Linked DNA regions of Notamacropus eugenii. The protein of the gene in region 1 interacts with the protein of each later gene in a pairwise test. Links are inferred from orthologs where the notes say so. Each region holds a gene or a part of one and is shown on either strand. Other genes may lie near its edges.

The links.
Region 2: the proteins of XRN1 (region 1) and ZFP36 interact in a two-hybrid assay, tested with the Homo sapiens proteins (2 studies listed by BioGRID). The link is inferred for Notamacropus eugenii from reciprocal best matches to the Homo sapiens genes XRN1 and ZFP36.

The regions. Positions count from the first base shown.
Region 1 is NC_092877.1:330,607,477-330,621,906, reverse strand, and holds the start of XRN1 (5'-3' exoribonuclease 1), read left to right. Parts: upstream 1-8,021; coding exon 8,022-8,222; intron 8,223-14,430. Other genes in the region: serine/threonine-protein kinase ATR, read left to right, coding at 1,700-1,805, 6,728-6,901. UniProt on the Homo sapiens protein: Major 5'-3' exoribonuclease involved in mRNA decay. Required for the 5'-3'-processing of the G4 tetraplex-containing DNA and RNA substrates. The kinetic of hydrolysis is faster for G4 RNA tetraplex than for G4 DNA tetraplex and monomeric RNA tetraplex.
Region 2 is NC_092876.1:32,193,981-32,208,945, reverse strand, and holds ZFP36 (mRNA decay activator protein ZFP36), read right to left. Parts: upstream 9,812-14,965; 5' UTR 9,696-9,811; coding exon 9,627-9,695; intron 8,983-9,626; coding exon 7,933-8,982; 3' UTR 7,180-7,932; downstream 1-7,179. Other genes in the region: PLEKHG2 (pleckstrin homology domain-containing family G member 2), read right to left, coding at 74-140, 798-898, 1,094-1,398, 1,532-1,598. UniProt on the Homo sapiens protein: Zinc-finger RNA-binding protein that destabilizes several cytoplasmic AU-rich element (ARE)-containing mRNA transcripts by promoting their poly(A) tail removal or deadenylation, and hence provide a mechanism for attenuating protein synthesis.

The DNA.
Region 1 (14,430 bases):
AGTCACATTTCAGTGTGTGTAGAATTGAAAGTTTCTTCGGGAAATGATGTTTGGATTCTGTTTTCACCTTGCACTCAAGAGTGTTCTAGAAATTCTGGCCAATTCTTTTCTGAATTCTTGAAATGTTGTATCCAGGTCTTTTGTTTCGTTATTTTTTTCTGAGGGTCTGATAATTCTTATTGTTTCATGGCTTGTGTCCCAGATCACTAATATTTCATCATACATCCCATCTTCCAGTTTTTTTTTCCTGTCTTTTGACTTGGGTCAGGTATTTCTTCTATCACTTTTAATTTTTACTTGTGTTTCCTCCATTCTTTTTCCAAGTTGTTCATGTGGTTAGGGTATTTATAGCTTTTGTCCCAAGCTCTTTATTATCCTTAGCAGGAGCTCTAATTTCATATCTATCTTTCTTCATCCTCATAGGAGGGCTTCCAACCACTCTCAGAACTGATGTAGGTAATTTTTTTGTTGTTGTTGAATAAAATTTTTACAAAATGAAATTCTGTTATTTTTATTTTCTAGGTTTCTACTTGTAGTTGTTGCAGGGTTATCCTGGGATTCCTTCAGTATGTTAGTAGTTTTCCTGTTTGCTCATTTCCTTAGTCTCCCTGCTTTAACATTTTCTTTTTTTGCTTCTTTCTCTCCTCCATTGCCCACAGCAGAATCTTAACTTCTAAACTTTCTCTTGTTCAGGATTGTCGTGTTCAGATTGAATTACCACCAAGCCACAGACTCCTCTAAGGCTAGTTTACAAAAGACTACAAAACTTCTAAGCCTTTCACACCTGCTGGAGCCACACCCATATTGAGCCCAAAGGTGGTAATCATCACATTCAGAGGCATCTTATTGCCAGATGAAGCCTCCACCCTGCAGCAAGGAGTCTCACACCCTCAGCTCAACTTTAACTCTCAGCTAAGGGTGAAGAGTCAGAGAAACTGTGGCTGACAGGGTGCCCCCTTGGCAAGTTTTTTCCCCATCACAGTTACTTATGAGAGTTCCTTTTTGTTATTCTCTCTTAGTTACTGATCTACTTTATTTGGCATTTTAAAAAATGTTTTTGAGTTATCAATAAGATAGAGCATTTATTAAGGACTTCCTATGTGCCAGGTACTGTGCTAAGCATACGAGATAAAAGTATAACCAAATGAGACTGTTCCTACCTTCAAGGTAGGAACTTTTAATGAGGGAAGACAAGTCATAAAGGGAAGCTAGAAAGCAGGGATTTGAAGGTATAAGGATTTTGGTGGGGAGGTGAAGTGTGGGGAGTAAGTCAAGCTGGGAGAGAACTGAATTCCCTCCTGAAATGTCATTCTGAACTAGGGAGGGCAGGCCCCAAGGTCTCAGGATTTCCAGGTGGAAAGGCTACTGGCAAAGAGGTAGAGAAGTGGCTGGTCTTGCTGAAAACTTTTACTCTAATTTTTACCTGACTTCTCCATACTTTTTCCTCTGGGTTTTTCTGACCTTGTTCTGTTGGGCATTCTAAGTTTCTCCTTTCCTAAAAAACACTCATTTCTTTACTGGAAAGATTACAGTGTGTCTGCTTGTACTGATGTTATAATTGGCTCCTGATAATCACTTTGAAATTAGTATTACCTAGAAATCTGTTGAATAATGTTCAAATTATCTGTTTCTGTGTCTTTGTGATTGATAGAATTTATATTTTGTCTATGCTACTAAGAATATTTGTTTTTGTTTTTAGCGTCTTAAAGACTTTTATTCATGATCCTCTTGTGGAGTGGAGTAAACCAGTAAAAGGGAGTTCAAAAGCACAACTGAATGAAACAGGGGAAGTTGTCAACGAAAAGGTTAGAAGATATAACTTATGGAGATTGATAATCTTTTGTATGTACATAACACATTACACTTTACAAAATGCTTTCACTTGTATCATTTCATTTGATCCTCACAGCTCTATGAGATAGGAAATGAATTTTTGTTGTCATTGTTTAGTCATTTCCTGTATGTCCAACTCTTCATGACCCCATTTGGGATTTTCTTGGCAAAGATACTAGAGTGATTTGCCTTTTCCTTCTCCATTCCATTGTACAGGTGAGGAGCTGAGGCAAACAGGGTTAAGTGACTTGCCCAGGGTCACACAGCTAGTAAGTTTCTAAGGCCAGATTTGAACTCAGGAAGATGAGTCTGATGAGGGCTGGAGGGGGAAGGGGGGTTTACAGGAACTCCAGAACTGGAATTCTCTGCTGTGCGCTGCCTGGAGAAGAATTCACGGACTCAAGCATTGTTGAGGTCAAGGTAATTAATTATGCTTTTCAGCGGGCAAGAGTTCTTAGGGAACCTGCAACTTTAGAGGGGTACAGGTAATAGGATATTCAATAGGCCAGATATACTAAGTGGGTGATTCAGGGTGGGATTAGGGAGTGGCTAAGGAGTGGTTAGTTCTTAAAGGAACATGCACTTTTGGTATCTGCTGCACAGGTATTTTACCCAGAATTCATTGGGAAATAGCCCAAGGCAGGGGCTACCTGGAGGTGTAGTTTTAGGCCTGAAAGGAAACTAAGTTAACTAATGGTCAGGGATGACCAAGAAATTACAGGGTATTCTCATCAACGTCTTGTTAGACAAGATAAATGTAAGAGAGTATACGTATGGCTATGTCTAGGATACATATGATTGGTCAGTGGGTAGTAAAAGTAAATGTCATTATGACCCAGTGCACAGCCAGCTCAGCCAGTACACAGCTGGTTCAGACTAATAAGTTCTGTAGGTGCAGCTGGCTGCTATAGCAAGGAGATAACAGTTGTTGCTGGGGCAGGCTGTGTCCTTGGGCTGGGGAGAAACTGACTGGGATAGTTTTGAGGCTAGGGAGAAATAGGATTTTTTAAGAGAAATGTGATTTTAGAATTGGGATCTAAGCACAGGCATCCAAGCACCCCATCAAGTCTTCCTGACTCCAGCCTAACTAAGCATTCTATCCACTATGCCACTTTGCTGTGTATACACTTTTTACTAATGAAGAAACTGAGGATCTGAACAGTTATAATACTTCCCCCAGGGTCACAAAGGTACTAGGTGAAAAAGGAGTACTTGAACTCAGGTAGTCTGGCTGCTAGTTCAGCATTCTTTCCCCTATACCAGACTACCTCCCTTATAGGCTTCAGTAATCATGAACTATAAGTACATTTTAACTTGATTACCTTATCAAAGTCACATAACCTCAGTTAAAGTCTCACCTAGAACACCTTAACTACCCTCAGCAAGCCACTTAACGTGTGCTTCAGTCTTCATTTTTACAGTAATATCATAATAATGATGACTAGCATCTCTTTAGCATTCAAGGTTTGCAAGCACCTCCCAGACACTCTCATTTTGTTCTCGCAGCACCCCTGTACAAAGTAGGTGCTGATTACTCCTGTTTTGCAGGTAAGAAAACTGAGGCAAAGATGAAATGACTTGTCCAGAGGCACACGGCTTTGATTTCCTCTTGTTATTCCAGCACTCTCTCCACTGTACCTTCTGCTAACAGTTTTCTTAATCTGGGATAACACGGCATTACATTCCTCACGTAGGGATTGTGACAAGAGCATATTGCAAACCTCAGAGCACCGTATAAATGGGAGAAGCCACTATTCTGTTCTTTGGTATTGTTAAGTTTGTGAATGCTGCATATACTGACTTCTGTCATGATTGCTGATTATATCATTAGCATTTATGTAGCCAAAAAAGTTGCAGACACAAATTAAACTAGACAGCTCATAGTTGTTTAAAATGATGAATGAAAAACTTGACCAAAAATTTCCCAAGCTCATGGAAAGTTGAAAAGAATATGCAAATTAGATTCCATATGGCCATGACCCTGGGTCAGTTTGTCACTGCTTCCTATCTGTTCTCCCTACTTCTAGTGCCTCCTCATTTCAATACATCCTCCATGTGGTTCCCAGATTAACATTTCAGATTATGAATTTAACAATCACTAACAAATTGACATTTCAAATTACAAATTTAACAATCATCAAACATTTCAATATACAAAGAAAAACAAAAAGACTATATATGAAATTATGAGCTTTTACATAATGCAAAATGTTTGTATAATAAAATTAACAAAGCAGTAGCAAAATTTTTGTTTATCCCCTTCAGAACTTTATATTCTTTATCATTTCATACAAGTCTTCCCAGATTTCTCTCAATCAGTCATTTGTCATTTCATAAAGTGCAGCAATATTCTATTGCACGTTTATACCAGTTTCCTCCTCTGTTCCTTCACTGATGGGTGTCTTATTTCTAAAACAAGCAAAAAAAATGTTACTATAAATACTCGCATACATTTAGGTCCTTTCTTTTGAAGTCTTTGACTTCCTCGGGGTATATGCTTAATAGTAGACCAAAGAGTACAGTTTCATAACTTCCAAGTTGATATTTCTTCTGACCATGTCACTTCCCTGCTCATAGGATAATATACAAACTCTTTAGCCTACCTACCATTTAAAGCTTTCCACACTCAAAGTGTAACCTACCCTTCCAAACTTAGCGTATATCATTCCCCTTCATGCCCTCTACCTCCTTGTCAAACATGCCTACTAGTTGCTCCACAAACTTGTTATTTCATCTTTGGTCTCCATGCCTACAGACAGGCTCTCTCTCCTGCCCAGGATGCTCTCCTTCCTAAAATCTCCATTACTTGAAAGTTTAACCCAGGTGCCATGTTCCACACAAAGCTTTGTCTCATATCCCCCAGTTGTTAGTACTCTTTTCTTCCTCAAAGTGCCTTTTATTACTTATCGGTATACATGTTATCTCCTGAGTAGAATGTAAATTATTTTATGGCAAAGACTTTCATTTTTGTATTCATATCCTCACATTAGCACCTAATAAATGGTGACTGAAAGGATATAATGAAGTTTCCACTTAAATTTTTAACTGAGTTTTAAACATGAAAGAATTCTTTAAAACTGTATATTTAGCACAATGGAAAACAAAATTAATTTCTATAAGATGATAATATGAAGGACAGATAGGACTTGATGTTTTAATAGTCTAGGAAAATGTCCACTTCATTGGGTTGCTGTAGCCTTTTAAGACTCAAAATCCAAAGTTAAAGTCACCTGACTTTTAAAGTCAGATCTCTGGGCTGGAAAGAAAGTTCCACAGATAGCACTGTTGTCACAGCGAACATGAGTCTTCTTGTCTGGAACCTCCATCTCTTCTGAAACCCTCCACCCTCTTTATGTGCCAGGGTTCTCTGTACCTTCTTTTCATGTTAACTTGTCACAAGAAGAATCGAAATCCCCAGAGTTAAAGCTTCGTATACACTCAAGCTTTATATAAGACAGTATGATATACTGGTCACAGGGAGGCATTTAATAATTGTTGAATGAAAGTTTTGTCAAAGCACCATTTGTCTCTCAATAAACAGGTTCTTCATTCCTTCACCGAACTGCCACCATCCCTTATTTCTTAGAAAGTTATCTTGAACATCTTATTTAATGAATGGGCTTTTGGAAGTGTGGGGAGTTCATGCACGTCCCAATCTGTAGTTTTTCACATCTCCCCAAACAGTCTAGAAAGTAGCATTAAATCAGAGTTGGATACATGAGGTAGAAATTAAAGCTCCCAGATTCAGTTATCTATTCTATGCTGAAGACTCACAATCTATTTATGTAGCTCTGACCGTTTTGGTGTGACCTGCAGTCTTGCATTTCCAACGGCCTATTTGACATCATAAGCTGGATATCTGTCCTGTAGACATCTTAAACTAAACATGTCCAAAATTTTAATTTACTATCTTCCCTCTAAGTCCACTTCTTTCCTAACTTCCTTATTATTGTTGAGGGCAGTGCTGTCTTTTTAGTCACTGAGGTTTAAAATGTAGGTGTCATCCTCCAATCTCTTGTGCCTCGTTTTCTTTGACCCTTCCACCACCCTGGTACAGACCTTCCCCACCTTATTATTATACTATTGCAATAGTTGGATGGTGGGTCTGCCTGCTTCAAGTCTCTCCCCATTCCCTTTTATCCTCCACTCAGCTGACAGTTATCTTCCTAAAGTGCAAAGTGGACCATGTCATCTCCCCCACCCTTGCTCACTTCCCATCCATTACTTTTGGGATCAAAAAAAGTCCTGTTTGGCCCTTCATAATCTGCCCCACCCCCACCCCCCCACTTCATTCAGTGACACTGTTTCTTTTCTGTTCCTCACAGAAGACACAGAAGTCCATCACTTGGCTCTGGGCATTTTTTGTCTTGTCCCCCATGCGCGGCATCCTCTCCCTATTCATCTTCATCTTCTGACTTCCTTCAAAGTCTCAGCCAAAATCTTACCTTCTACAAAAAGCCTTTCCCAATCCCTCTTAATTCCGGTGTCTTCTTTCTACTTCTTTCTAACATGTCCTCCATCCATGTGGCTTATTTGTACACAGTTGTTTGCAAGTCATGTTGCCTATCATTCTACTGTGAGCTCCTTGAAGCCAAGGACTGCCCTTTACCTTTTCTTCCTATCTCCAGTGGTTACAACATAGTTCTGTACACAGCTAGGTGCTTAATGAATGTTTACTGACTGAGTCCGAATCCATGCCCAAACCCTAAACTTCTGAAATGTATCTTCCTCTTTTTTCCTTTCTTGTCTACATTCCAGAAAAAGTGTTGGTCTCTGATATGACCAAAAATGGTTAAAACAAAGCAAAGAAGCTGAGGAATAGATTTGAGGAATTAAAAAATATAGTCATCCATACCTTAACGTGTAGACATTATTTCTGTTTTCTCATTTCTAGGCCAAGACTCATGTCCATGACATCGAGCAGCGCCTTCGAGGTGTAATCAAAGCTAGGAACAGAGTAACCGGGCTGCCTTTGTCCATTGAAGGACACGTGCACCACCTCATTCAAGAAGCAACTGACGAAAACCTGCTGTGCCAGATGTATCTTGGTTGGACTCCGTATTTATGAAATGGAGCTGTGGTTACGAGTTAACACCTTCTGCTTGGACTCCAAGGTGGTGTTATTACAGTGATTCAGTTCCGGATTGCCACCTGCATTCATTACTGTTCTAGATCACTTGCTATACTTTCTTCTCAGAAAATGTTATTTCAGTTGTTAAAGGACTACAAAAATAAAACTACACGTTCAGATGTAAATTTTTTTAGAAAAATATGTATTGTAACCACGTAAATAGCATTATCCCTGTATATACACAAGGGGGGAAGGCATCTGTCTAAAATGATACTGTAACAGTATTTCGAGTCTAACCTTGGCGTGAATACATTGGGCATGTTTCAGGTCTGTCCCAGACTTCCATATTCAGTAGAACCACCGTGTGATAACCGTGGGTTTGGGACTGGCATACGCGACAGTTCTTGAGTGCGTCGTGGTTTGTGTGGCATGCCCATGGCAAGTAAGGAACAGTGGGTATTTGCGGACCTGTGTGAACAAGGTTCTGAGAGATGTTCCCCACGGAAAATTCAAGTCGAAGATGGAGCGGCGGGCAGCACTGGCACGCGTTCCTCTAGCAGCCTCTTACAAACCTCACTCGATGGTCTTCGTGTATCTTTAAGTCACTTTTTTCCAGTGTTTAGCATGATTCACAAGCAACGGAAAAGTGAAATTACCAAAGAAGCCCCCGATCTGGAGTGAGCCACGTGGTTTACGTTCAGCCCAAACGGGAATCTTTTCAGAACTGCGCGCCTGCTGGCACCGTGGTGGATGGGGCACGTGCCCCGAGTTATGCCCATTGATGCCTCCATGCCCGGGGCCCCAAGTGCGTGTCATCGGGAAGACAGCTGGCCCGAGATGGGGTGGGGGGGGCACCGGCGCCTGCCGCCCTTGGGGCCAGCCTTGGCGGGGCACGAGACTTCACCCGTGCGCGCCCCCATCGCCGCCTTTAGGAAGCCCCGCCCTCAAGGGCTCTTAGCCCCCACGAGTCCCCGTCCTTTTAGGGCTTGGCCCTCAGCCAGTCTCCGCCTCTGCCCGGGCCGGGGGGCCGCCCGCAGAGGCTCGGGCGCGAGGCGGGGGGGAGGGGCGCGGACACGGCCTCTCTAGGCTCCCGGCGGGCGGCGGCGCGGCGTTCTCTATGGTCTGGGAGGGCGGGGCCTGTGTTGTCATCGGCGGCGCGACGGCGGAGGCGGCGGCCGAGGCCCGGGCGGGGGGTTTGGTTTCGGTTTGGCGGCGGCTGCTGGCAGGGTCGGTGACGGTCGACATGGGAGTCCCTAAGTTTTACCGCTGGATCTCAGAGCGCTATCCCTGCCTCAGCGAGGTGGTGAAGGAGCATCAGGTGTGTGTGGGGGCGGCGGCTCCCCCTCAGCCCGCGCCCGGCCTGGGGGGGGCGGAGCGGGGGGGCTTTGACGGGCGGCGCCGATCGCGCCGTCGGGGTCCGGGCCCCTTTGTTTCCGTTTGACTTTGGAGCTGCCGGACTTTGGCCCGGGCCGCGGAGGGCTCGGCCCCGAGGGTGTCCTGCTCGGGGCCCCGTCGGGGCGTGCGGGGGTTAGGGTTAGGGGGCAAAAGTCCGACTCGTCGCGTCCGAGGGAAGGGCCGGGGGAGGGGGCCACCAGGAGCCCTTCGTACCCGCTTCCCAGAGCCTTGTCTTCAGGAAGTGGGAGAGGGGCGGAGTCTTTAGTCTTCCTAATGGACCCGTCGGGTTGCGTCAGGCGCCGAGCGTCTGTTAAAGAGCCGGGGCAGGCCCGTGGGGGGCTCCGGGGCGGCCGAGTCGTTCCTGCCCCCGAGGAGCTTCCGTTCTCGGAGGGGGGGGGGGGGGGCGGCTGTGCCCAGAAGACCGGAGAGTGGGGGAAGGACATTGGCATCCCAGAGCCTCGGGGACTCTTGGTGGGGAAGGGCCCCTGCAGCCGAATTTGGAGAAAAGTAGCGCCCGCCGGAGGGATGGGGAGGGTCAGGCGGCAGGCGCTGCTGGTGGGCCGGGCTGTGCCACGGTGGGTGCGACAGGTGGAAACGAGGGATGGTGCCCGGGCCCCGGGAGGTATAGGGGAGCCCCGGAGTCTGTGGAGCCGGGGGAACGGCGCGAGCAGACTCCACTGACCGGAGTCAGGTCGACGTGTAAATTACGCACGACGCTAGAGAGGCGAAACCGGGCCAGTCCCTCCAGGAATCCCCATTCTGCTGGGGAGACCGCCCGCCAGCCGCCGTGCACGGGGAATACACGGGGAATACACGGGATCGAGTGCGGGCCGGCGCCGGCACATCCTAGGGCTTGGGGAAGACTTCTTGCGTAATATGGTGGAGCCTGAGGGAAGCCGGGGAGGACAGCATTCCAGGCAAGGGGGAAAGCTAGTGAAAAGGAGCCGCGGAGAGGTGGAAGGCAGCTCGCTCCGGGAACAGCGGGGAGGCCGGTAGCGCTGCGTCGTGGAGTACGCCGCGGGAGTGGAGAGGGAGCGGAGGGCCGGCCTGCGCGGGGCGCGGAGGGCCGGCCGGGGGAGGGCCAGGCTGCGCGGGGCGCGGACGGCCGGCCGGGGGAGGGCCAGCCTGCGCGGGGGCCGGCCGGGGGAGGGCCAGGCTGCGCGGGGGCTCGGACGGCCGGGGGAGGGCCAGCCTGCGCGGGGCGCGGACGGCCGGCCGGGGGAGGGCCGGCCTGCGCGGGGGCTCGGAGGGCCGGCCGGGGGAGGGCCGGCCTGCGCGGGGGCTCGGAGGGCCGGCCTGCGCGGGGCGCGGAGGGCCGGCCGGGGGAGGGCCAGGCTGCGCGGGGCGCGGACGGCCGGCCGGGGGAGGGCCAGCCTGCGCGGGGGCCGGCCGGGGGAGGGCCAGCCTGCGCGGGGCTTTAAAAACCAGACAGCTGTGTGGGGGCTAAATTGGAGAGAGGAGAACAGCAGGGAGGCCAATTAGGACTTGATTATAGTAGTCTGCAGTTGCCTGTTGATTGGGGAATAACTAAACAAATTGTGATATATAAATAGAATATGATAGCACCATAGTGCAATAACATGAAGAATTCAGAGACATGGGAAGTCTCATATGAACAGATGCAGAGCAAAGGAAGCAGAACTGAAAGGATATTCACACCACGATGACATAAACAAAGACTACAATAAAGGCTTATATAATTTCGGTCAAATATAATCGTCTGTATAAGTTCCAGATGCTGGAGTTAAAACACACTTCTTTTTCTGTTAAGAAATGGTGTACTGCTAGCATAGAAAGTTACTTGTGGTGTCAGCTACAATTGATACAGTGAATGGTTTTGTTTACCATTTTTAAGAGGAGGTTCTACGGAGAATTTTAAGTTTGAAGGGACCTCAGAGACCATGTAGTCTAATTTAACCGGTACCCTACTATTGGATGGGTATATTTGGGGGTGAGGGAGACGAAAAATAAAACTTAAACCTCTCTCTTCTGACTTCTCAGCTAGTGGTCTTTGTTTCCATCAGATTTCCCCATTTAATTGCTGAATTTCTGAATTGTTGACTGTTTCTTCATTAGTAAAATGAAGAGGTTGAGCTCTCTGGTTTCCAAAGTTGTTTATACCTCTGAAGCCTATTATGTCTTTAAAGCACACTGTTAACGGATTTTTACTGACTCAGTCTCCAAATGCTTAGAGCTGCCTAGAGACAGGCATGCCAGCAATCAAGTAGTAGTTTAATTAATTAATTTCCAAGTGACAAATATTCTCTAAACTGAAGTAAAAGCACAGGTTATATACATCACAGGTGGGGAAAGGGGGGGGAAGGTGGATCACAAACAGTCCTTTAATGGTTTCCCACAAGAAATCCTTTGATACAACAATTCTAGAGTCAAGTCTTTTGGGGTCATGATCACTTCCCCTAGGGAGGGAACAGGTTCTACAAGTCTTAATTCGATTCACTTAAGACCTGGTGATTGTGAGCATTGTCAAAGGTTTGATTGATCAGTTCAAGCTGAATTGTGAGCTCTGACTCCCAAGCCAGAGAAGCGCCTCTTGAGAAAACTAAGTAATTAGTGTATTCATTACACATCTCAATTAATATTAAAATCATAACTTCCTTCTCAACACTCATGTCATTGTTTCTAGGAATACATTATATATAGGTTTCAACACATTGAATAATATTGCAATAATTTCTATCTAGGTTATTCAATGTAGTAGGTGTTATAAAGCCTATTACCAATGTGACTATGCAGAAGTAATGGCAGAAAAGATATCTTCAAGGACAGATATGATGAGTAAAGGAATGTCACCAGTCATGTAGCAGCCCAGGAGTTACACTCATATCCATGAAATGACAAAACATCTGTTAAGGATTTACAAAAGGATGTGCATGAGAATCTCACAGCATAAGAAGTTACGAAAGAGACCTGCATTAGTGAAAGAAGTGCTTCCGTTTCTGAGATCATTAAGCAAGTGAAGGATTAATAAAGCGGTGAACTAAAAATCCCAGAGCCAGGATCTTCAGGTAGAATCATAGAATGTTATCCCTAGAAGGGACATATTAAGATCTAGTCCAACCCCTCAGGTTTCATATGAGGGAAATGATGTTTAGCGGTGGGTAAGTAGCTTGCTAAAAGTAAGTTCAATTCAACAAGCATTTATTGAGCACTTTTTCTACGTTTCTGACACTGTTTCAGGCACTGGGAATAAAAGATAAAATGAAGTAATCCCTTTCTCAAGGACCTTATGTTCTTTTGGAAGACGTAATATATACACAGATAAGTAACTATAGAATGTTAAAAGTAAATACAAAGTAATTTGGTGGAGGAAGAGATCATTTGACAAGGATCGAGACCTCCTTCTTGAAGAAATACAGGAATTCTAACAGAGATGGTCAGGGAAAGTATTTTGTGCAAGGTAACCAGGCACTGAGTCAGGAAATGGCAGGGAATGTGTAGGGAAACAAATCAGCCTGTTTAACTGGGACATAAGTGTGAAAGATGAATGATAAGAAATCAGTCTAGGGAGTTTGATTGGAACCAGATGTGAAGAACTTTAAATGCCAGGCAGGAGAGTTTGTACTGTACACAGCAGAGAGGGGCTGAAGCGTTTTGAGGAAGAAAGTGACATAGACCTGTGGGGTTTATTTTTGTTTGTTTTTTGGAGGGTTTCGATTTCTTTGACATAGGTCAATTAGCAATGAGGAAACTCCTACCAATGCAAAACTGAAACTGCTCCACAATTTATTGAGACACAGAGACTACATAACCTATCCTCAGTAAGAGAGCCTGTGTCAGAGACCAGACTTGAACCCAGGGCTTCCAGACCTCCAGACCAGGTCTCTATCAACCATGTCATCCTGCCTTTGGTGGTCAAACCTTAACTTAAGGGAAGGTAAACTAGCAAAGGGAAAAAAATATGGACCTAAACTTTAGTGGAGATTATGTGAGAGGAGAAAAGGGAAAGGATACTAAGAAGTGATGGTGATTGAATCAAACAAGACTTGGAAAGTGATTGAATTTGGGGAAGGAGGGAATGACTGAGCTGGAAAAGTATGGTGACTGAAAAACTGGTGATACTCCTCACAGAAATCTGTGAGTTGGTTTGTGTGGAAAGACAAAAGAATTCATTTTGGGGCATAGTGAGTTTGATGTTCTAGAGTCCTTCAATAAGATTTTCCGGGTTTTTTGTTGTAGTGGTGATGATGGTAATTTTTCCTCTGAATGCTAAAATAGAGATTGCATTTCTGGCAGTAGCTTGTCACCTGAATCAGATTCAACATTTATTAAGCACTCACTATGTACATGCTAGGTACAAAAATAGGATGGGGGAAATAATGCTGTCCCTGTTCTCTAGAAGCCCTTCAATCTAATTGGGAGAATATGGCGCGCGCACACACACACACACACGAATGTGACAAGGAAGGACAATTCAATTCAGCAAACATTTATCAAGTGCCTACTGTATGCTCACTCTTATTCTAAGCTCAGCCAGAAATAGAAAGTTTAAATAAGATATGGTCCCTATCTTGGTAGAGCTTATGGACTAATACACTATATGTGTACTGTTTTTTAAAGTTTCATTAAAAACTTAACATGAAATGTCAATACAACCAACTAACCTTATTTCGTAACTGTATTGAAATAATTTTGTTACCTATCACATTTTTCAGTCACTCCCCCAAAGTCCTGTCAAGACTTCTTGTCCAGTCATTTTCATTCACTTTTCTCTTCTGTAGTCAAATTTCTGGTTCTGCTTTCCACCCTCTCTCCAGTACCCCAGCACCCCCATCTTGGAGGAGAGAGGGAGAAGGAAAGTTAGGGATGAGGGAAGACTTTGGGAAGATGGCTTCTGAGCAGGCTCTTGAAGAAAGAGAAGGATTTCAGCAGGCTGAAAGGAGAAGCATATGCTCCAGGGAGAAAATGCACCGGAACAGGAAGAGTCTCCTGCTGTTCCCTACATGCCATGTGCCTGGGGTGGTCACTTGTACTTCTTCCAATCCCAGCTTTTCTCCAAAATGGATAGAGCTCCATGCCTGAAGTCAGGAAGTTTCATCTTCCGGAGTTCAAATGTGGCCTCAGACCCCGTGTAATACTGAACAAGGCTAACTCAAAGCCTCCTCCTGCCCAAGGCTTTTCTGCTGCCACTTCTCCCATCCTGGTGTGCTTAGGGCCCCCATTCCTCCTCCCCGCGCCCCTCTGTTACTTTGTGTTTTCTTTATATTCATTTTCCTGTGTATTTACTGTTTGCTCACCTTGGAACCAAACCATCAGCCAGCATGAAGTGCTTCCTCTTAAGCTTAGGCACATTGCGACATGCTGGAGATAGGGCAATATGCTACAGATAGGTACACAGAGAATGAAACAGTCCCCACTTCCAAGGAATCCAGGCTTAGTCGAGGGAGACAATAAATGAAGGAAGTACATTGATCAGTAAATTTTGGGGATCAGACCAGATCTATTTCATTGGAATTATGTAATTCCTCCTGTGTGGGAATTTACTCCACCATTTTATACCTGCTCTGTAGCTTTAGAGAATTGCTTAGGGTGTTGAGTGACTGGCCTAGCTCCTAAGGCCAGCATGTATCACAGATATGACTTGAATCCATAGTTTTCTGACTCTGAGACCAGCTCTTTATCCACTATTTCAAGCTGCCTCTTAGTAAATAGAAAGAGAATAACTACAAAGCAGGAAGGGGGAGGGGGGCATTCACATTGTGGGGATCAGGCAAATTTGCACGTAGAAGGTGATGCATGAGTTGCAGAGGCAGGTTCTATGAGGCAAAGGGGAGAGAGCCAGTTCCAAAGTTGAGAGGTGGCGTACCTGGTATGAAGAACAGAATGGAAGCTCCTTTAGGCCCAGGGCTTTTCTTTTGTTTTTGTCTCCCTGTGCCTGATAACAATGTCTGACAAATAGTAGGCCCTTAATCAAGTAATAAAAGATTCAGAGCCTCCTAAGCCAAAGGAACATGTACGCAAGATGCATTCTGGGTGTTCAGCTGAGACATTGAACTGCCAGAGAGGAACAAAAAAGGTCAGTGATGAGTAAGATTGCTTTTTGTTCTCCCTGCCACATCGGCTAACGTCCTTGGAATCTGCCTCTGCTGAGCTATAAATGGCCAGTCTCAGGA
Region 2 (14,965 bases), on another chromosome or scaffold:
CTGGGGACCTGCCTTTCCTCTTGGTCCCCGACTCCCAATGAGTGTGTATTGCTAGCATCTAACCATTGCTTACCCTTTGAACAAAGCAATCAGCGATGCCATGGGCACTACTGCTATTCTCCAAGTCTTCTAGGAGCTCGCTGTAGGGCAGGGAGTGGGGACAGGGGAGGTCCGGGTCACAACAGGAACCCCCAGGTTGTGAGAAAAGGTCCCCCATTTTGAAGGGAGGTCCCTTTGTCCTCTCCCAAATCTCTGAGATCTCTGCACCCCCATATTCAAGAGTCATTATACCCATGCCTCAGAACCAAGACCCAGGCAGACATATTGTCACCCCTGAATCAAGTGGCAATTATACCAGCTCCCCCCAGATCCAGAGTCCAGGAATTCAGTTCTTGGAGCTGATATTAACTCCTGGGAAGAAGGGATCTTATGGGAAGGTCATTTATAGAGGCCCTGATTGTCCTTCTCCCCCTAGCATGGTATTTAGAGTGCTGGAATTGAAGTCAGAAAGGCCTGGGTTCAAATACTTCCTCAGACACTTAGTAGCTGTATGACCCTGAGCAAATCAATTCATGTCTTTGAGCCTGTTTTCTCATCTGTAAAATGGAGCAGCCCTAGTATGTTATCTAGCTTCATGTCATTGTTAAGGGACAATGGGTTACAGTGTAACATGATCCCCATAAGCTAAAAGAGGAGTTCTGTCCAGAGACCAACTCTAATGAGAGTCTAAGTGGATGAGAGTGGTTTTTTCCTGGCAGTGTGCCCCACAATTCCTAGACATTTGGGTCTCTTCTGACCTGCTAAACTCATAGATGTCTTCGATGTTGGAGAAGAGGGTCCCAAGATGTTCTGAATTCAGCCCAGGTGGGCCATTAGCCACCAGACATCCCAGGTAGTCCTGAACGGAAGAAACCCAGGTCTCCAATACCCCTACCCCTAAGCCAGGTTGATAGCTGGGGTAGGAACTGGAGGGGGCTGAAAGCACAAGGTATGGGCCCAAGAGGGCTTCTGGGAGAATTAAAGGAGAGAAGAGTTTTCTGGAGGACCCGGATGGTCTTCCATTTGGGGAGTCTGAGGAAGGATCCCCCCTCACCTCCACAATGCTCCTAAGGTCCCGCACATAAGCCCGCTCTGTCTCCACAATCTCCCGGACCACACGTTCCAAGTGTGAGGGCTTCTTGGTCCCTTGCCCTGGCTCCCCTCTAGGCCCCACGGGAGTCAGGTGCAGTCGGATGGGGGGACCTGGTGGGGGCTCCAGGGCTGGCACAGAACAGGCCTGACTGGAGCTGGGGCCTGGGCTGGGGCCTGGATGAGGCTCCCCCTCAGAGCCCACAGTACTCAGAGATGTAGAACTTCCAGATCCTCGGGGGGAGGCCATGGGCAGAGTTGGGGGAAGTTCTGTTGAAAGAAATGACCAGGTCAGACTCAGCAGGTTTCCAGGGTCATCTGACACACTCCCCTTCAAACAATCCCCCTTGCACCATCATCTGGTACACAAACATGCTTGCCATAATCTGTCCACTCCTCTCACCTCGGTGGCTACACCCAGGGCTTGGGGTAGGGCTGGGTTTGGTAAGACGGTGAGCTCCCTCAGGCATGGCTGGCAGATCTCAAAGCACTGTCCTGGGGGCAGCAGAAAGGAGAGAGGCCACTGACATTTGAAGAAAGTGAGAGGAATAAGATGGTTAGAAGGTTAGGGCAGAGATGAGTAGAAACACACACAGGTTTAGGGACACAGAGAGACACATACATACACACTCCCCTCCTCATCAAGGTCTCTCTGGGAGTGGAGTGAGGAGCTGATGGGCCTTTGGAAGGGGAGGAATCAATTGGGCAGAAGAAAGGGAAAAGAGAAAGACCCTGAGAGAAAGAGACTGAGAGAAAGAAGGAGAGATTGTGATAGGGAAAGAAAGGGAAAATGAAATAGACAGAGATAGACAGTAAGATTTCTATTTTCTATTCTGCTGTCCTTTGAAGGAGAAAATAAATTGCCTCATGATCAGACAGGAGAAGGGAAGGGAGAGAGGAGGGGAGGGGAAGGGAGAGGGGGCCAGAGAGGAGAGAGGAAAAGAGGGGGGGCAGGCAGTGTGTGTCTGGGGGGAGGGGCTGGGAAAAGCTGCGGGGGCGGGAGCCTTGGAGGGTCCCCAGGGAAAAGGAAAAGAGGAGGCTGTAAGGCAAGATGCCAGGGTCCCAGCTGAGCCTCCCTCTTTCCATCCCTCTGTCTTTCTTTCAGTCCCTATCTCTCTGATTCTTGTCTCCTTTGGTGTGTTTCTGGATTCTGAGAAGTGAACACAAGCCCCCAACCATAAACTTCGGCTGTACCCCAGCCATATTATTACCTTTGAGCAGAGAATGGAGCCAGACTCAAGCCCTGATGAATAGACCATTCCTTTCTTGTTGGAATCAAGACACGATTTAAGGGACTTCCTATGTCTGCCCCCTCCAAGATCCCCAGGGATCAGTTCTAAGAGCCAGAACACTGGAGAAGCCTATATCTGGACAGAGAGGAATGTGTCTGGGCTCTGGATCTGCACAAAGGTCCCCGATCTTGGCTTGGGGTGGGGGGGCAGGGATGTCGGTGTGGATTCTGAATCTAAGAGGAGGCACTAGGGAAGTCTAGTCCCCACGTCCACCCAGGGGACCCAGGGATCGAGCCGACTTCCAAGCCATCCCTTGGTTCTGGGAGGAGAGGAGAAGGAGGGGGCCGAGGAGGAAGGGGGCCCGGGAGGAAGGGGGAACCGGGCTCTCCTGGGTCCGGCGCCGGCCCCGCCCCCTCCCCGCCCGCCAGCTCGCCCCCTGTTCATTGTTCCCGGGCAGGAGCCGCCCCTCCCCCGCTTCCCTCCGCTTCCCCTTTACGCCTCCCCCGCCTCCTCCAGCCACCTCCCCCCTGCCGCCCCCCAGATCTCACCTTCTTCCAGGGGAGCTGGCGGGGCCCAAGACCCCGGAACCCCTGCGGGACCGGGGCTTGCAGCAGCCGGCAGCGCGTGTCCGAAAGGGGAGTCGGAGCGGGGCCACCCGAGGGGGCCGGAGTGTCCGTCCCGGGGACAGCCGAGGGGCCCAGGCGGGCCGACTTTGGCCGGAGGTCCGAGCGGGCTAGGAGGGAACACTCCAGGGCAGGGGCAGGACCGCGGGGAGGCTGACGGCCAGCCGTTAGTCTGTCTGTCTGTCTGTCTGTCTCCCTCCGTGGGTCGGTCAGTCCCTGGGCGCTGGGCCGGGCCCGGCCGGGGGGCGGCGGCGGCGCCACATCTGGGGAGGGGGGCCGGCTCCAGCTGTGGGCCGGGAGGAGGGGACGAGGCAGGCGGGCAGGCAGGCAGGCAGGGGGGCTTGGCTCCTCCCCGCCCCCTCCTCTCCATCCCCGCCCCCTCCCGCCCAGACATCCTGTTCCCGCCTGCAGGGGACTCGGGAGAGGGTGGGGTTAAACCTAGCCAGACCACTGGGGGTTAACATGCCTCATGAATATTCACCACCTCGCCCACTACCCCAGCTTGGGCCAAGTCCAGCCAGGAGGGGGCCAGTTAGGCCCCTTCACCCGCCCCCTTTCTCGGGCTGTAGGGCAGCCCCAGACTGGACTGGAGGTGCAGTGGTTGGAAGGCGGAGGATCCAGAGGCTCCCTCCTCCCTCCAACAGCTGGAAAAGCTTCCCTTTTGTAGCCCGGGGTTCCCGGGGCTAGAGCGTGGGAACTGGAGGAGGAGGGACCTGGGACTCCCCCCTTCCGATCCCCAGTTCCCAGCCTTGAGTCACTGAACAGACCTGATCTGAGCTTGCCTAGCGGAGGGTGGGGGGCGGGGGGGGGGGGAACCTCTGGAGCCTCAGTCCGTCATGCTGGATCCCTCCAGAGCATCTCTACTGGTTTCTTTGTATCTCCCAGGGGTCTCTGTGTCTCATCCATCTCCGTCAGCCTCTACGAAGATTCCTTTTTCTTTCTTCCCATAGCTGCTGGGGGCACTTGTCCAGGATCACCCTTCCCCTATTTGGAAGAGGCTGGGCTCGAACCCAGGATTTCTAAGAATTTAAGTTTTAGTACAGTTGACAGCTTGCTTCCTATGGATCAGGACCAGCACCAACTTTAAGATATTAAGCAACTACTACGGGCTGGGCGCTGTCATTCTCGGATCTTATAATTCCTAGTTTCCTTCACAACTCAAAAGTTGTGCTTTCTACGTAGCAAGATTCCTAGTGGCTAATGCTTTCCTGCCTTCCCCCTCACCTGGCATTTATTTCGTAACCCTAAATCAGGATGGCAGTTGAGCTCCCTGAGAGCTAGATAATGGACTGATTAAAGAATCCCCCAATTCCTCCAAATTCGAGAGTTTTCCCTGTTTGTGACTTCCTAGTTATCCTGGTTAGAGCTTCCTTGCGTACATTGGTTGGTTCCTTGTCTATCTCCCCCGTTAGATTGTGAGCTTCTCGAGGACCGGGACTTTTTGCTTTCCTTTATAACCTTAGCTTAGTGTCCCGTGCGTATTGACCTTTCCACCGACTGTGGTAGGCGCTGGTTCTACAAAGATCTGACCCTATAAAATATAGGAAATCATCCAGGCTCACCGGGAGATTACACAGGGGAGGGAGGTGAGTAAAAGTCACTAGATAAGAAAGGACAAAGTAATTTCGGAGATAAGGCAGGAACAATTCCGAGCACCCGCCAAGGTCTCCAGATAGCCGCCGCGGGGCGGAAAGAGAAGTTTCCGTTTTCACCTCTGAAATTTACACAAAACCCTCCCTCGTTAATTCCATTCATTCAGCCTGGGGTGGGTAATCGATCGCTAAGTACCCAGGGGTTAGGGGACACAAACAGCTCCAGTCTCCACCCGGAAGGGGTTTGCATTCTAGTGAAGGGACCGAGCCGAGATCACTGCCAGAACATCTCACTTATTCAAAAATAATACAAAGTAATTAGGAGGGGGGAGAGGATCGGGGGCGGAGCATCAGAGTCTAGAATTCTGCGGTGGTTTTTTTCCCTTCAGATTCAGAGGTCCGAAATCCCAAATCGTGCCCGGGGCCGCCACGTGGCGGGTGCCCAACTCTCGGGGATGTGGGACAACCGCACAGATAAGGAGGGAGAAGGATCCCAAGCGCCCCTGTTTAAGTCAGGTCTAGGGGCAACCTGCCTCCAGGCAACCCTAACCTCCCATTTACTTGTCAACTCGCAGGACGAAGGGCACCCGAACACCCAATTCCGTCCCCTAAACCTGGACATCCCAGCACTACTCCTTGCTCCCGACCCCCGTCCTAGGTTTGTTTCAGCCAGTGGCGACAGGGTGTAGAAGGGCGTTTTTCTCATTGGCCGGCAGGGGGCAGGGGCGAGCTGTAATGTGGGCAATGGGGATGTGGGCGGGGGTTGGGTGTGCGCATGCGCCCGCTGAACACTAGAGAGCGGCGGAGAAGTTTCTGGGGAGGAATCTAAGGGACGTCACGTGTGACGTCACGCAGGCGCAAGAAACGAGTAGACGAACGAAGAAGGAAGAGAACCGGGAGAGGAAGGGTCACGTGGATAAGCCTGAAGGGGCCCGCTCCGCGGGACTTTCGCCGAAGCTCCAGTGGCGCAATCGGTTAGCGCGCGGTACTTATACAGCAGTGCGGCCGTAGCGATGCCGAGGTTGTGAGTTCGATCCTCACCTGGAGCACAGACTTTTTCCCCCACTTTATATTTGAAATTTAATAGAGAATTATGAGTCCTGGCTAGGCGTGAATTCGCAGCCTCGGGCTCCTGCGCTCCCGGGATCCTGCGGGCTGGACGAGGTGCCGTTCCGCACGGCGGCCGCGAGGGGGCAGCCACGGTCTTTGTGATGGACTCCCTGAGGGTCACTCGGTCCCCTCGTATCAGATCTCGGGGCTCTTTCTAGACCCCAGCGTTTCTGGGACTCGCTCCCCCGCCCCCTCCGGTTTCCCAGAAGAAGAGGCCGAAGGTCACAGGAGGCCCAGGGAAGGGTCCCGATGGAGCCTCTCGGATGAAGGGGCGGGGTCCGCGGCCTTGACGCAAGGCCCCGCCCCCGGGGAGGCCTTCAGGCCTTATACGGGCATCGGAGGCCCCTCTCTTCCCTCCCCTCCCCAGAGTCGGGGCGGGGCTTCCGGGGCACAAGCGCACACAAACACACGCACCCCTGCGTCACTGACACGTAGCCTCCCGCCCAGCCTGGGCAGGGGCACATTCCGTCCCCATCCCCCCTCCCGCCCCATGCTCCTTCCCCAGCTAGACGGAAACTTCCCGTCCCCACCCACGGCCTCGGAGAGCGAAGAGGACGGGCAGAGACCCCGCACCCTTTCACCCCCTCCCCCGCCGTCGGTGGGTTAGACTGGGAGCTCCCGGAGGGCAGGTGCCGTCTGCCTTTGTGCCCAGCCTTTATTGGCGCAGGACCCGTACGCCGCAGGCGCTCCACCAGAGTCTACTGGCTGACGGGGAAGGGAGGAACCCCCGCTTCGACACCAGGAAGTAGACGGAGGCGCAGACTGACCGGGAAGGACCAGAGTTACAGGAAAGGGGACTTTATGAAGCGCCTCTGTGCTGGGCGCTGTGCTCGTTCATCGCTTTACCAGTATTTCATGTGACCACGAGGTTCCTGAATCACCGGGAGGGCAGGGACAGAGGCACGGACTCCCCAAAGGCCCCGAGAAGCCTCTTGGGATCCCTCGGACACCCGAGGAGACGCTTCTGAGAGTCTCAGGAGGGAGGGCAAGTCAGAGAGACCCTCCAAGACAGACACGCCAGCCCTAGAGATAAGGCTGGGATGAGAGACGAAAGAGGGGTGAAGGTGGAAACCCCTTGAAACTTGTAGCAAGAGACTGACAAAGAGATACAGACAAGGCTGAGGGATGGGAACAGCAAGTATGGAGGGCAGGTATCAGCCCGGAGGAAGATAGAAGAAATGGGCGTTGTGGAGAGGGACTCAGGACCCAGCCAGCAGAGCAGGGAGGCCGAGCCCGGACAACCTTTTCTGAGCTTGTTATTAAGATTGTAGTCAATCCCTTTCCCCACCCCCAGTCCTTCCTGGTGACCTCACCTGGGCCACCTCTTCAGGTGAGGGGGTGCCCTCCTTTCCTAGGTGAGTTCATCTGGAACCGCCCTAGCCTGGGGCCAGAGGAGTTAGGAACCAGCTAGACCGGCCCCCTAGGTCTCAGGACAGCCCTCCCCACCCCTGAACCTCAGGAGACGGACAAGAAGACAGCCTTTCACACATAAGATTACTCTTTTGTGAACTGTATTAGTTTTAATTAAAAAACAAACTCCACCAAAAAACAAAAATAGAGAGATTTCTTTTTTGTTTAGCTATATATATATACACACATATATAATAACCTTTCAAATATATATTATAGTGGCAGCAACCTCCCAATATTAGACAAAAGGGAGAGGAAACGACTGCATATATAAATACTATAAAACCCGTAGGAATAAATAATGTCGTCACCATAAATAAGGGGCCCCAGGTGAGGCAGGGAGACTTGGATTTGGTCTGGTTAGGTAGGATTTGAGCACCAGGGCTGGGGAGATCCCCATCCAGGGGAGACTTGGGGAAGCCTTTTCACAGCATGAAGAAAGGGGGGGTATCTCTTATTCTGACCCCCCTCTTAACAGGGTGTCTCAAAGACAGTACAGTTTTAACCTAGTAATGCTTACAACTGAATTAAGACTTTGGGGACACACTGTAATATATACACACATACATATATGTAGGTATATATACACATATATGTACATATGTATGTATGTATACACACATATGTCGATTCAGTATGCTACATTAAAAACCCACCCCCAGAACACCTCTTTGAGAGTTTTTGCTCGCCATAGGGACCTGCCCCGGGAGACTAGGCAATGGGTGAATGCTCTGGGGGCTAAGCAGATGAGGCACCTCCACATCTGGGCACAGCTGGCAATGGGGGAGAGGAACTTCCTGATCTCCTACTCAGTTAAGTTTGGAGTAACAGGGGTGTTCAGTCAGACACAGAGAGCCGGTTAAAGATGGGGAGCCGCCGGGGAGGAGTCAGGGCCAGGAGGTGTGAGTTAGAGGGGGCAAAAGCGCCCCCCACTGCTACCTCAAACACTGGGGAGTCAGACCCCCCCAGGCTGCTTCCCCCACTGCTGGCCTGGTCATCTGGCTCAGAGCCCAGGGAGTGAGCAGAAGGGCTTCGGGCCAGCCCCAGCCCCAGCCCCAGGCTCAGGGCATCCCTTGTGGGTCCCCATGTTCCCGTGGTCTGGCGGCAGGAGGGACAGCAGGTTTCTCCCACCGTGGCTTCCCGGGGCACTGGACCAGGGGCAGCAGAGAAGGCAGAGGGTGAGAAAGGGACCTCCCCGGGGGCGGTGGGCAGTGGGGGCGGAGAGGAAGGAGGGGAGAAGAAGCCCGAGGGGGAAGGCAGGTCCGGCAGACCTGGAGGGCTCAGGGTGGGAGAGCCCCGGCGTCGAGAAGAGGGGATCCCAGAGAAGCTGACACTCTGGCGGAGGAGGGGCGGGTGACCCGACACCACAGACAGAATTTCGTGTGGAGAGTGGATGAAATGGCAACGGTTTCCATAGGGGCAAGCGCCCATGGCTAAGAATTTGCGGCACAGCTCCGTCTTGTATTTGGGGTGGCGGCTGGCTGGCCGCAGCTCTCCAGGCCCGTGGGCGAACTGGCACTTGGAGCCGTAGCGGCATTTGCCACTCTCCGAGAAGGTCCGGCAAAGTTCCGTCTTGTATCTGGACGAGGAGGCTGCCCCGACCGGGGACGTGGAACCAACTTCCGAGGGCGCGGTGCTGACGGCTGGCACGGCTCTGGGCGGCAGGGGCTCAAAGCCCGGCGGCGGGGGCACCCAGGCGCGGCCCTCCACCAAGCTAGTAGAACGGCCTGGGAGCCGGGGACCCAGAGAGGCCGGGGCCCGCGGGGGTGAAGGTGGCTCCAGATCTGCGAGGCTTGGACTCCAGGGGCTTCGAGAGCCCCAGCCTAGGTCGGGGTCCAGTTCTCCGCGAGCCGCCGAAGCCAGCTCCGGGCTCAGGGACAGGAGTTTCTGTTAGGAGGGAGAAGGATCAGGGTGGGATCGACGGTCGGACCTAAGGTCGCTGAGCCGTGCAGAGCAGAGCAACCCCACCCAACTGCACTTCTGACCCCTGGATAGTGCCCGGGAACTAAAGCGTTGGTCTAGGCTCTAGAGAACTCCCCCAAACTCAGCCCCACCCTAAAAAGGGGGGGGGTGAGGGCCAGGACCCAGGCGTCAGTCTCCCGGTCTCTTTGCCCCTACTGACTCCACCCTAAGGCAGCTCAGAAACTAGAATCATTAAGTTTCCCCCAGTAACCCCCCAACTTAAAGAACCCCAGTTACTACTCCCAAGACACCCCCGGCGCACACACACACATATGCCCTGAGGAAGCAGCCTCACCTCCCTTCCAAGACTTGGGTTCCCTATCCTAGAGGGACCCTTCTCGGATCCCAGAGGGAACTCCAATTTCCGAGTCTGCCAAGCTATCTGCACTCAAGAAAGCCCCGTGGCACCCCAGTGCCCAGAAGTGCTGAGCGAAAGGGGAAACGTTGGCCGTCAGCGCCACGGCCCTCCCAACCAGACCTCAGGCAGAGGCGGCCGACACCTGGGTCCGCTGGTTCCAGAGAGGTGAGGGGGCAGGCAGGGGTAGGGCGAGAGGGAGGGGGCAGCTCACCTCGTAGAGAGCGCATAGTTCCAAGCCGGCGGACTTGGGCTTCCCGCCTGCAACGGCGCTTCCGTCCATCCCTGCGGATGCTCTGGCTCTGCGCGTAACCAGGACTGTGGGGAGGGTGGCCAGCGCGCTACTCTTGAAGGACTGCTTTTGGGGGAGGGGCCTCTTGGTGCCGCCCAGGACCCACCCATGGGGAGCTCCAGAAGCTAGAGACAGAGGAGGCGGGGGGACCGGGAAAGGGCGGGGACTAGGGAGGATTCGGGGGAGGAGCGATTCCCGGACTGAGTGCCCCCGGGCGGGGCGGGGGAGGCCCAGCACCTTACTCTGGGCGAAAAGCTGGCCCTTAGAGGTCCCCCAGTCACTGGATCACAACTCCTAGGATTTAAGACCTAGAAGGAAACTCAATCGTCTTCCAGTCTAATCCCCCCTCATTTTTCAGACGGGGAAACAGACCCAGAAAGGACCTGAAAAGATCTTTCCCAGATCCAAGCCCCTCCTTTTACCTATGTGGGAAGCTGAAGGTCAGGAACTGGAAACACCATTAAGGTCCCAGAGCCAGAGCCAGAGGCAGAAATGACAGACACAAGAGTAGATACAGTCAAGCACTAAAGACCTGAAAGCCAGATGTCAAGGGACAGAGAGACTCAGAAGGGGAGAAGCCGCCAGTTTACAAATTCTCTAACCCCAGAGAATACAACCAGAAGAGAAAGCTGGGAGATCATGAGTGGTAGATTTTCCAGAAGTGGAAATTGAGGCACAGAGAGGGGCAGGGATTTGTCTCAAATTCCTAAGGGAACTGGGCAAAGTCAGGTTTCTTGAGACAATGTCTACCATTCTTAGAAATTTTCTCGAGTCACTAAAGTCAGATTTTGGGGGAGATGGCCTCTTAGTTGGAGAACTGTCTGATTCTAGGCCTGTGTTGGGGCTTTTCTCTGACTCGAACACATTTAAAATAACAGAAATCTTCATTTTCCCAAGTGAAGGCTTCTCCTTCAAGTGCTCATTTTCCAGAATGAAGACTTCTGTGAGGATTAGAACTTGTGGGAAGCTTCTCTGGGGAGGGGAGGGATGGTCAGGAGGGACCTTCCCAGGAGCTGGGACCTCCCCAAGTCTCCCTTGGGTCCCGTGAGCCTGTGGTCTCCAATTTTCACCTGCGCATAGTGGCTGGCTCTCACGCTCCCCAGTGACTCACCCACCGCAGGGTGTGTATGTGTGGGGGCCCTTCCTGGAATCAGGTGACGTAAGGGGAGGGGGGGGGGAGCTGATCCGATGCTGGGGTTCCTCTCTCCTTGTAAACAGAGAGCTGAGGAACCTCAGTTTTCAGCATGCTCTTCAGATCTGGGCCTTGATTTCAGCTCAAAACAAGTGAAACTGGGACCCAGAGACAAGGTCACTGCCACCTGATAGGGAAGATGGAATGCTCTCTTCTCCCCACTTCAGAGGTTCCCAGAAAGAAAGTCCTTCCCCAAGACCCTTCCCCACTTTTCACTCATCCTAAGGGGAATTGGTTTGTCTTTCTCTTGGGATCTGAGCTTGTGGGTACATTCCAGCTTCCTGACTCATTCCCTGACGACTCTCTGAGCTCCCCATGCTCCACCCCCTAAACCAGAGTGTTACCTCACCATGCCTCAGAACCAAGGCTCCTGGGTCTAGGCCCAGCTTTAGAGGTAGAGTGGAGAGGGAGAGTCTATGAACCCCACTGAATTGGTCTCAATCAAAGACCACAGTTTTCACTCCCTCACTAGTGTCCTCAGGGAACCAGGGATCCTCCAGCCCCCCCCCCCCAAACAAAAAAATTCAATAATAATTTCAAAGATTTTGGGAACTTGGTATACAGGCTAAGTAACTGAGCATGTAGTTAGGAAGACCTAGATTGAAATTGTCCCTCACACACTTGTTAGCTGGGTGAACCCAAGCAAGTCCAGGAGCCTCACTAGACCTACTTCTTTTTCTATAAAGGGAAAGGGGGGTGTCTCTCTTAATTTCTAAGATGCCTTCCTGCTCTAAATCTATGATCTCAGAGGCCTAGCTGTTTAGCCATCTAGCCCGACTCCTTGGAGTACCAGGTCACCAGCCTGGCATCTACGCCCTTAGGTCTCAGGCCTCTCTACCTTTTTACAATCAGTTTAAATCAGTATATTTCTAGTGCTTAGCATCAAGCCTTACATAAAATGGACATTTGAAAAAATTTCTTCTAGCATCCCTCCTTTTGAGTCTTGCAGAAATATACTCCTCCAGGGTCCCAGACCTCTAACTCCCCCAACTCCATCTCCCCTCAAGGATTCAGGTTTTCACTCTCCTTCCAAATTTAGGTCATCACAACCCTCTGACCCCCTTAAATTCCATAGCCTATAACTAGTTCCTGGCTCCAAAGTTTCCCAAATCTCTGGGTTCCAGGAGTCCTTTCCCCTCCTTCCCAACCTCTGACAGCTAAGAGTACCAGATCTCTGACCTCTAACCCCTCAGATGACCTTACAACCTCCTACCCCCTAGCCTTTGGGGCCAGATCAGATCTACTCACCTTCCCAATATCTCCTGAAATTCCTTCCCTTTCTTATGAGGGGCCCCTCCTCTCACATTCTACCTCAAGACAGTCCTGATGTTTTCAGCATAGAAATGTGTATACAGTAAGCACTTAATGTTTGAATTGGGAGCATCCTCACCTTCTTTGTGGAATCTACGATTAAAAGCTTTTTGTCTCTTCACTTGGCACAGTGCTAGGCACATAGTAGATGTTTGTTGTTGACTTGAGTTGGCTCATAGTCTCCTCAGCCACATTGGCTTCCTCTGGCCTGTGAATACTTAAAACCCCAGGTAGCCTCTGCTTCCTAGGCCAGGAAGTTAGGTGTTTGGAGCTGTGAGAGGGAAAATCCCGATTTTGGGAAGTCTGGCAGTCACCATTGTTGGGAATCCCCTCTGGAACGAGATTGGGGAAAGGGTGGGACTGGGGGCCACGGCCTCTGGGATGGGGAAGGGGGAGGGGAAGGGGGCGGAAATTGGCAGATCTAAAAATATCATCAAGCTTCCGGCCCAGAAGGTGGGCAGAGTTTCCAGAACAACATGGGAGAGGGAGGCCAGGACCGGAAACCGCCAAGGCCTGAGAGAATGAGAGATTGAGAAAGAGACAGACAGACACAGACACAGAGATGGAAACAGAGAGAGAGAGAAGGGAGAGAGAAAAGAGAGTGACTGATGATCGGATCGCAGCCTTCTAAGCGTGTCAGACAACTCAGGAACACACAGGGCAAGGTGACAGATTGTGTCTCACTGTAGCTTTCAGATGAGATTATGTGTGTGTGCCCCCACGGGATTGTACTGGGAGGAGGAGGGGATGGTTTGTGTGTCAGCCCAAGACCCTTTGGGTCTGCCTGCCTTTGAGGGCTTCTGATGGTGCCCAGTGACATCTCTGCCTCATGACTGAATGTGTTCCCCCCCACAGGCAGGGGGAAAGGACAAAGTGTCCTAGTCTGGGTGTCTTCCCCACCCCTGGCTAAGGGGCCAGAGGAATTTCCCAGGCCTGGCAGAAGGGCATGGACCCTCCCCTAGGGGCTGACCACAGCTGGATCCCAGATGTTCCCGGAGAGGCTAGGTCAGGCCACCTCCCCTCCCTACCCACCAAGAGCACAGTTGCAGGAACCTGCTCCGCCCTTCTCACTTCTCCTTTGGGGCTAAAAATACTCTGGACCCTGGTGTCCAGGCCCCACCCCCCCCTTGCACAATCAGCTGATGACGCAGGCAGGCAAGCCCAAGGGGAGGAGGAAGATGAGGGGCCCGAAACTCTCCCCCCACTCTCAGGTGTCTCAGACAGCCTGAAGGGTCAGCATGAAGAGAAATGTAAAGATGAGGAAGGCTAAATCCATAATCCCTGCCTACCCTCCCTGGGTCCCGGTCCCCACTTCCTGGTCCTTCCCCAGCAGCAGGCAGGGAGGGAAGTTAGGGTGATTGACTTGAGACTGGCGTCACAGCTCCCTTTTCCTTGCATGTTCTCACTGAAGCCTCCTCCCCACCCCCTCACCCCAGTCTGGGACGCCCTTCCCTTTTCAGGGTCCTGGAATCATGGGACCTAAAAGGAATGTAAGACGTCATTTAGGCCAAGACCCTCTCATTAGACAAGAGAAAACTGAAGACTGAGGAGGAAAGTGCAAGTCTGCCCAAGATCACAAGGAAGCTGGGTTTCAGGACCTCTTATAGAGGTCCTTCTTAGAAACCCCAGCAGAAGTACCCTCCTTTCCCCAACTGTGATCCTCTTCTGCCTCAGGGATCCCCTCAGGCCCTCCTCCATTCCCTATTCAAGCATCCAGCCTTTGGCTCCTACTCTGGAAAATCAGAGTGTCCAGGGTTAGCCCAAGATCAGGTATATGCACTGGGGGTGCGGTAGCTGTGATTATATAACTGGGGGATTTCCTCCCTCCTCTTGGGAGCCTGGGGTGAGTCAGGAGCTGTGTCAGCAAAGCTGGTCTGGCTAGGACCCAAGAGCCCTTCCCCTCCCCCTCCCCTTCCTTCCCCTCTCAGGGACCCAGGCTTTCACCCTAGAGCTCCTCCTTACTTATCCTTGTCCCAATTTTCCTGGTGAAAGGAGATAGAAGGGGCGGGGAGAGGAGTGATCCAGTCAGAGGGAGAACAGAGATCCAGGGCTCGAGATACCCCCCTGGCAAAGGCAGCAAGAGCCTTAGCTACATCCAGAGACAGAACTGGCTAGGGGGAGAGAACGAAAGATCCTGCCAGAGACAGTTCGCGGCAGTGACAGAAGTCGGAGCAGAGAAAGTCAAACTCGGAGACCCAGTCAGAGACAGTCGCAGGCAGAGGACAAGGACTCAGAAACAAAGATCCCGGGACAGGGAAACCGAGGTCCAGCCAGAGACAGTCCTAGGCAGAGAGATCCAGCCAGAATTCCAGAGACTTCAGACAGAAAGACCAGACTGATAGTCTCAGGAAGAGACAGAGACAGTCCCAGGAAAAGAGAGATCTAAACAGGAGTCAGTCCCAAGCAGAGAGATCCAGGCAGTAAGAGACGGTTCCGGGAAGAGAGACGGGAGGGGGTGGGGAAGGGAGGAAAAGTTGGGTGTAACTGACAAGGCTTTCAGACTCGGGCGTCCTCCCCCCACCTTCCCCCACCCCAGGAGGCGCAGGCGCAGATACAGATATCAGATGGGCGGGGCCCTCCAACAGATGGCCGTCCTCTGGCGCCCCCTGGCCTCCACGAGGCGGGACTGCGCCTTTCTCCCAAGCCAGAAGGTCAGCCTTGGGCAGGCTGGGGCAGGGCACCCCCTCCCCCGCCCTGGGCCCAGGCCCTGGAAATGCAGCGGCAGAGAGAACAAGCCGTAACTTAGGAACCTTTAATT